2 linked regions of the Arabidopsis thaliana genome follow. The protein of the gene in region 1 interacts with the protein of each later gene in a pairwise test. Each region holds a gene or a part of one and is shown in the gene's direction. Other genes may lie near its edges. The genes, in order: BPC5 and AT5G66940.

The links.
Region 2: the proteins of BPC5 (region 1) and AT5G66940 interact in a two-hybrid assay, tested with the Arabidopsis thaliana proteins (one large-scale study listed by BioGRID).

The regions. Positions count from the first base shown.
Region 1 is NC_003075.7:18,144,522-18,148,887, reverse strand, and holds BPC5 (basic pentacysteine 5), read left to right. Parts: upstream 1-1,996; 5' UTR 1,997-2,089; intron 2,090-2,444; 5' UTR 2,445-2,458; coding exon 2,459-2,527; intron 2,528-2,624; exon of another isoform or gene 2,625-2,627; coding exon 2,628-3,410; 3' UTR 3,411-3,537; downstream 3,538-4,366. Other genes in the region: VHA-C3 (vacuolar-type H[+]-ATPase C3), read right to left, coding at 35-167, 505-790, 1,483-1,558; AT4G38905 (uncharacterized protein), read left to right, coding at 3,833-4,359. UniProt on the Arabidopsis thaliana protein: Transcriptional regulator that specifically binds to GA-rich elements (GAGA-repeats) present in regulatory sequences of genes involved in developmental processes.
Region 2 is NC_003076.8:26,727,229-26,730,461, reverse strand, and holds AT5G66940 (Dof-type zinc finger DNA-binding family protein), read left to right. Parts: upstream 1-1,746; 5' UTR 1,747-1,795; coding exon 1,796-2,473; 3' UTR 2,474-2,643; downstream 2,644-3,233. Other genes in the region: AT5G66930 (meiotically up-regulated protein), read right to left, coding at 2,913-2,988, 3,138-3,233.

The DNA.
Region 1 (4,366 bases):
GAATCATGCGGACTTCAAGAACCGCACTCTTTTCTCATTCGGCTCTGGACTGACCAGCTCGGGAGGACAAAATGATCCCGACGATGAGACCGTATAGAGCAAGAGCTTCAGCGAAAATGAGGATAAGAATCATACCAACGAAAAGCTTTGGCTGTTGAGCATTGGCCCTGTCATCAAACCACAAATTTGCGTATCAAAATGATATAACAGGGGATAGACACTCACAATTGAATTGATATTTCTTCCATTATATTTCATCCTAGAGAAATACGCCATGGCACAAGACATCTCACAGAAGCATGTAATGAACTGATATTTCTTCCATTATAGATTCAACAGTCAGTGAATTGCACATATTCCCTACCAAATTTTCATCAAGTTGAATTGTGACACTAAACTCATGATATTCTGATTCATAAGGGAGATATACTTGTATAAAATTGAGTCTTTTAGCAAATTAGGCTATAAGAGTGAATCTGCAAAGAAGGACACAGAGGATCGTACCTGACACCAGCATCGCCAACGATACCTATGGCCATTCCAGCTGAAAGACCAGCTAGCCCACAAGCAAGACCAGAAGAGAGATGAGCATATCCGTCGAAGAGGTAGTAGGATTTAGCCTTGGGGTTAATCCCGGTACTGATGATAACAGCAATAATCAAACCATAGATACCCAACACACCAGCCATAACAACTGGGACAATAGACTTCATCACCAACTCCGGCCTCATCACACCCATAGATGCCACTCCCACACCACTCTTTGCTGTCCCGTACGCAGCTCCCATACCTTGTTAATAACACAAAGATACACACTCTTTAAGGTCACAATCTAACTATGGTTTACACAAGTAATCAACATGCCTTCGATATGAAGAAAAAGCATAATTGACATAGATGAAAGCAACTCAGCAATTTTGATGGTAACAACGGTAAATCTGTACTTATGCAATTAGTACCAGTCACAGCAATCACAAAACCTGGCAACTCCAGCAAATTTCCCTAGGTAATTTCGATATGTTGGACAAAGAACAGGACACCAAGAAATTCTTTTTTTTTTGTCGGGGACACCAAGAAATTCAACACATACAGATCTAAGCCAAAAAGTCTTAGTTTCTAGAAGATCAGCCTAGACTACATCACCAATGGAGAAAAGACAAAGAAAAAGGATTTAAAACCAGCGTAGAGCAGTTCCATAAGAATTTGATCCACTGACTAAAGATAATAAACTAGAATTTTCGAAAAGGAGAGACATATAATAGTTCAGTGATATCGCTTAGCCTAAACAAATCTAGAGAGAAATTTCTAAGAAAAATCATGAGCAACACACAGATCGGTGAACTTCTCAGGGCCGATCTAAAGCACAAAAGCAACTTTGAGGGAGATCATGAGAACAACAAACACACACAAGATCAGTGAACAATTCAGAACCAAAGAGAAAAGAAGAAGATGGAGATTATAAGAGAGTATAGATGGATATACATGAGAAGACGAGCGCAGCGGCAGCGCCAAGGAAGCCGAAGAAAGGAGCGGTCTCATCGCCACTGAAGGTAGACATCTCTCAGGCGATTCTGGATCTTAAAATATGTGCTTCCTTGGAACACCGGAATCTGATCTCTCTTTCTCTCGCAGATCTCTCTCCGTTGAATATACAAGGATTGAGTTTCCGAGGCTCAAAAGCCTGATTGATGATGAGATATACTACTACTACAACAGCGAAGCGCACACGTCGGGATCTCAACCCGGGTCTACCCGTATTCGACCCAGATTAGTTGCCTTATTCTTAGGCCCATCATACGGCCCACTAGAATGATCCACCAGAACCAAAATCATATCCTGTTTGGCTTATATTTGGAGAGATTGAAACAGAAACGTCTTTGCATTTTTACGAGTAAGATGGATAGACAATAATAACCTTCTTGCTTGCTCTCGTTTAGCAGTTTTAAGACAAGGGTATATTAGTAAATTGAACCGAGAGTACCTGGCTCGTCTTCCACTTCTTGCCACATTACACAGACACCATTTCCAAGTATCCTCAGATCTTTCTCGATTTCCGTTGCTTGTTTCTCCTGAAGGCTCGTTGAAATCCGTAAGTCTTCGATCGTTAATCGTGTTCTTGACCTATCTGTTAATTTCAGCATGCCAAGTTTTTCTCTCTACAATTTTCATTTTCTTCGAATTTTGGTTCTTCTGGGAGCTCTCTCGTCGTTGCTTTAACTTGAAATTCGAACTCTATATATGTTCCCGCGTATCTTACTTGCTCCATTGTTTTCTTCATCGTTTGGTTTGGATGGTATTACGCTGACTTGTGGGATATGATACGATTTCTCGATTTATTTGGGTTAAATGTATGTTATGGAACTGCTTATGATTTGGAGTATTTCTGTTTTTAGTTACTCGTCAGCCTAGTTTCACAATGTTTGATATCAATTTCTCCATTGCAGTTGAAAGTAAGAGGATGGAGAGTGGTGGGCAGTATGAAAATGGGCGCTACAAGCCCGATTACTACAAAGGAACACAATCTGTGGTAAGCAAAAACACTTGAAGAAGCAGATCACTAAAACAAAAAAACATGTTTTCGTTACTTTGAATGAAACCTAAGTACAAACTGTGTGTGTGTGCAGTAGAATGTGATGCCGAAAAAGGAGCAACATAATGCATTGGTGATGAATAAGAAGATCATCTCCATCCTTGCTGAGAGGGACGCAGCTGTCAAGGAAAGAAACGAAGCGGTTGCAGCAACTAAGGAAGCATTAGCCTCTCGTGATGAAGCACTTGAGCAGCGGGACAAAGCTCTCTCTGAAAGAGATAATGCTATCATGGAGACAGAAAGTGCGTTAAATGCTCTTCGATACCGTGAAAACAATCTTAACTACATTTTGTCGTGTGCCAAGCGCGGTGGTTCCCAAAGGTTTATAACTGAAGAAAGCCACTTACCTAATCCTTCCCCTATATCAACTATTCCACCTGAAGCAGCCAACACGAGACCGACCAAAAGGAAGAAAGAGAGCAAGCAGGGAAAGAAAATGGGCGAGGATCTGAACCGTCCAGTTGCTTCTCCCGGAAAGAAAAGCAGAAAGGATTGGGACAGTAACGATGTCCTAGTCACGTTCGATGAGATGACAATGCCAGTGCCCATGTGCACTTGCACCGGGACTGCTCGTCAGTGTTATAAGTGGGGCAATGGCGGCTGGCAATCATCTTGCTGCACAACCACTTTGTCTGAGTATCCGCTCCCGCAGATGCCAAACAAGCGGCATTCCCGAGTTGGCGGCAGGAAAATGAGTGGAAGTGTCTTCTCCAGGTTACTTAGTCGTTTAGCTGGTGAAGGGCATGAGCTTTCCTCTCCGGTTGATCTCAAGAACTATTGGGCTAGGCACGGCACCAACCGCTACATCACTATCAAGTAACCAAGATTTATGAGCCAGTAGCCACTATATATCAAGTATTGCTCTCTCGTCATCCCTTTTGATTTTTTTTTTGTCGCTTTAGATTTAACAATTAGGATCAAAAGTCGAATGAAAGATGAAGTTAGGCTCGTTATTGTTTTTACTGTCGATAGTTCCGTTAAAAGGCAAATATCTAGTAGTACTGTTTTGACTTGGTTTTGTTGTTTTATGTAAATAGTTACATTATCATCTACTTTGTATTATTGTAATTTCAAAATTCGAAATCTCACCCATTAAATCGCAAGAATTTGAACAACTTCAACAAATAAAAAGGAAAAAAATTTAATAATCTCCTTATATTAGAGTCAAGCTTCAACGACTTATGTAGTCTCTTCATCTCAAGCTTACTCTCAAAGTTCCACTTAAAGAAAAGAAAAAAAAGCATGGACCAAAAGCTAAAGACCACCAACACTAGTCCACCACCGCAACCACCAAAGCGTTGGCTTAACCACATCAAGACATTTTTCGACGTTCCTAACCCGAGAATCGTTAGAATCTTTTTTATAGGCAGTTTTGCCACATTTTTCTCCGGAATTGCTTTTGCTTTTGAATGGACATTAAACGGCAAGAACCATAGCGGATTCCAATGGATCATCTACTACGCCTTGTCCCTGATCATTCTTCCTATTCTCATCTGGCTAGGTCTCGGTATTGTCATGATTTTCTCGTCAAGCCACGGTTCAATGCAAGTTGCTAGCTTCATGGTGGAAGAAGAACAGTGTGTCGACGGTTCTGCCGAGAAGAGTGGGAATAAAGAAACTAAAGATAACAATTGTGAGAGTTTGGCGATTGTGGTTAATTCGGCCGATCAGAAAAAGTGCATGGAGAAGATATTTGAGAACAAAACGGCAAAGCTAAAACGCACAGTTTCATTCCCATTGCATAGCCAAGTGCGATCATGTCGGACTAGGTGAGTG
Region 2 (3,233 bases), on another chromosome or scaffold:
TTAGTTAGCAAGAAAGAGAGAGGATAATTTAGCCCAACAATGTTGTTTTTTCCACGTAAGTTTGTAGTTGATTTCATTTGGGTCATAACAAAATCCGCCCATATATGGTTTCGTTTCATAGACTCGGCTTGGGGTTTGTTTAGCAGGGTGTCAGATTCACATCTAAAATACAACAGTCACAAATCTCTTATGTTAAGGCCCATGGTCCAAGGGGTATACATATTAGGCCCATTAGAAATACGGACCAGAAGGTAAATGACGAAAACACCCTTTCAAAAGGAAACAGAGAAGGACTGAGACTCAGAGAGGAAAAGGACAAAAAGAATGGGATAAAGAGAGAAGGTGTGTCAGAATTTGACCAGATTAGACCGGTCGGTACACAGAGTAAGGACGGCTCTGAACCAGTGTAGACACGTCTTGGCACATACTTCTCACATGTCTCTCTCCAAAATGTTGGATGCTTTTTGGTGTGAAAGGGAGTGAAGATTTGCATGCTTCTTAACTCCTAGCTTCTCCGTATCCATTCTTTACCCGACAACCTTCGCTTCTGTCTCTTCACAAAACGAATCTCTTCTGTCTCTTTTGACTGTTTTTAGCCTCCCCAATTTTACAATTACTACCCTCTCTTCTTTCCTGTGGAACAAATCACATTTGTCACACTCTCTCTCTCTACCTTAAAGATCCATTTGTCTTGTTCCTCAAGATCATGTTAAGTCAGAATTCACCCGACTATTGTTATTCTGTCTTCATGGTATTGTCTAGATTTTTACTTTTTATAGCTCCTAAACAACATAAGATTTATAATCTATTATTACACCGTAATGATAAAACAAATTGAAAACATTGTCTTAATCTTGATGCATGCTGAGAGATAAGATAAGACCATAACAAAACTTAAAATTGATAATCAAGTTGGTTTAACGTAAAACTGTTGAGTACTTTTACTTGATGTTTTAAATGTAGTTTTTTTGAGGACCTGAACGCATTGATTCTGCATTTATACTGGTATTCTATTAAGGACCTGTAGTGATTGGTAGCACATCTACACACACCATCAATCTCTTAGGTCCATATACCATTTAATCCTTCTTTTTTTGGAAAAGATGCACACAACAAATTAGGCTAATGAGCCCTCCTAAACACTTAACAATATAATGGCTGTATTATTGGGAACTGCTTTACATCGATAAGCTCAATAGTCTCTACTACATGTAGCCTACTCTCTTCACAGTTCAGTCTTCACTTCCCGTAGACACGTACTTTTGACATAAAATTTAATGTATTTCTTAAAACAAATATTGCATGTAGAAACCTTTTTTAACTTTTAACTCAGAAATTCGACGTGTATAACACCATAATTAAAATTAAAATTTCAAAAGCATTGTTAGTCAGCAAATGTAATCATATGATTTTTCTTTCACTTATTTATCATAAGTTATTTTCAATTTTGGTTTCTTCCAACATTCACTAATGTCTATGCCATCAAAACGTGTGACAGATTATGGATGGAGAGATTAGAGAATCGTGGTTTTATTTCAAAACAGAAAATCTTGAAAGAAGAGCCACCAGCTACGTATAATGAAGTAAAGAAACAGAGCATATCTATTCTCTCTCTATGTTCACAATAAACCCAACATACTCTGTCAAAAAGCTTCACTTTCTTCTCCTTCCCCATCTCTCTCTCTCTCCCTCTCCTCCATAAAAGGAAACTCTTACTCTATCACAAAGTTCCAACCTTTAACTCTCCAAAGCTTCAAAAACTCTCAACTTTCAGATAACCTCTCTTCTCAACAACATGCCTTCTGAATTCAGTGAATCTCGTCGGGTTCCTAAGATTCCCCACGGCCAAGGAGGATCTGTTGCGATTCCGACGGATCAACAAGAGCAGCTTTCTTGTCCTCGCTGTGAATCAACCAACACCAAGTTCTGTTACTACAACAACTACAACTTCTCACAACCTCGTCATTTCTGCAAGTCTTGTCGCCGTTACTGGACTCATGGAGGTACTCTCCGTGACATTCCCGTCGGTGGTGTTTCCCGTAAAAGCTCAAAACGTTCCCGGACTTATTCCTCTGCCGCTACCACCTCCGTTGTCGGAAGCCGGAACTTTCCCTTACAAGCTACGCCTGTTCTTTTCCCTCAGTCGTCTTCCAACGGCGGTATCACGACGGCGAAGGGAAGTGCTTCGTCGTTCTATGGCGGTTTCAGCTCTTTGATCAACTACAACGCCGCCGTGAGCAGAAATGGGCCTGGTGGCGGGTTTAATGGGCCAGATGCTTTTGGTCTTGGGCTTGGTCACGGGTCGTATTATGAGGACGTCAGATATGGGCAAGGAATAACGGTCTGGCCGTTTTCAAGTGGCGCTACTGATGCTGCAACTACTACAAGCCACATTGCTCAAATACCCGCCACGTGGCAGTTTGAAGGTCAAGAGAGCAAAGTCGGGTTCGTGTCTGGAGACTACGTAGCGTGATAGAGACTATCGGATCAGCTTCTACTTCATCGGAGGGTTTCAATCTATCTTCTTCTTCTTTTAGCTTCTCTACCCTAACTTTCAGTTTTAGTTGATCTGGTTCTTATTTAGTTAGGTTACTTGTGAACGAAACTTCAAATCAGAGAAACGTTTGTTTGTTTGTTTGTTTTTTTGGCTCTATTTAATGTCAATTCCAACTTTAGAAATCTTGGAAAACAGAACAGTCCACGTTGTTTAGGAAATGCAAGTCTGAAATTTATATACAACACATCACTTATATACAACAAAGCATAGATAAGGTAACATTATCCATCGACGAGGAGAGGGTAACATATAATATATTTACACAGAAAATGTAACTAGGAAAGTGTTGATTGGAGTTAGGCTGCACCAAGAAACATCAAAGTGTATATGTACTAAGTTAAGTGGAAAATGGAATTTAGCCGAGCATTGATGGATGGCCACTGTGTAGTATCCTCTTGAACATATCCATCCCAAAGGCAGAGTCCGATGAGCTGAAACAAAACTTAACTCATTTCAACACTTGTACAACAAAGATATAAAGAACATTCTTCACTCATCTATGTCTGTGGGGATCGCTACACCTAAAGACTAAGATCTCTAGAACACAGTTTGATATGTGAATAAATGAAGACTGATGTACCTTGGGATAGTGATCTCAAAAGGGTAGTAGATTACACCATCGTTAATGGGAGGAACATGATCCTTCTTCTCATTCACGAATTTTATGATTTGGAAC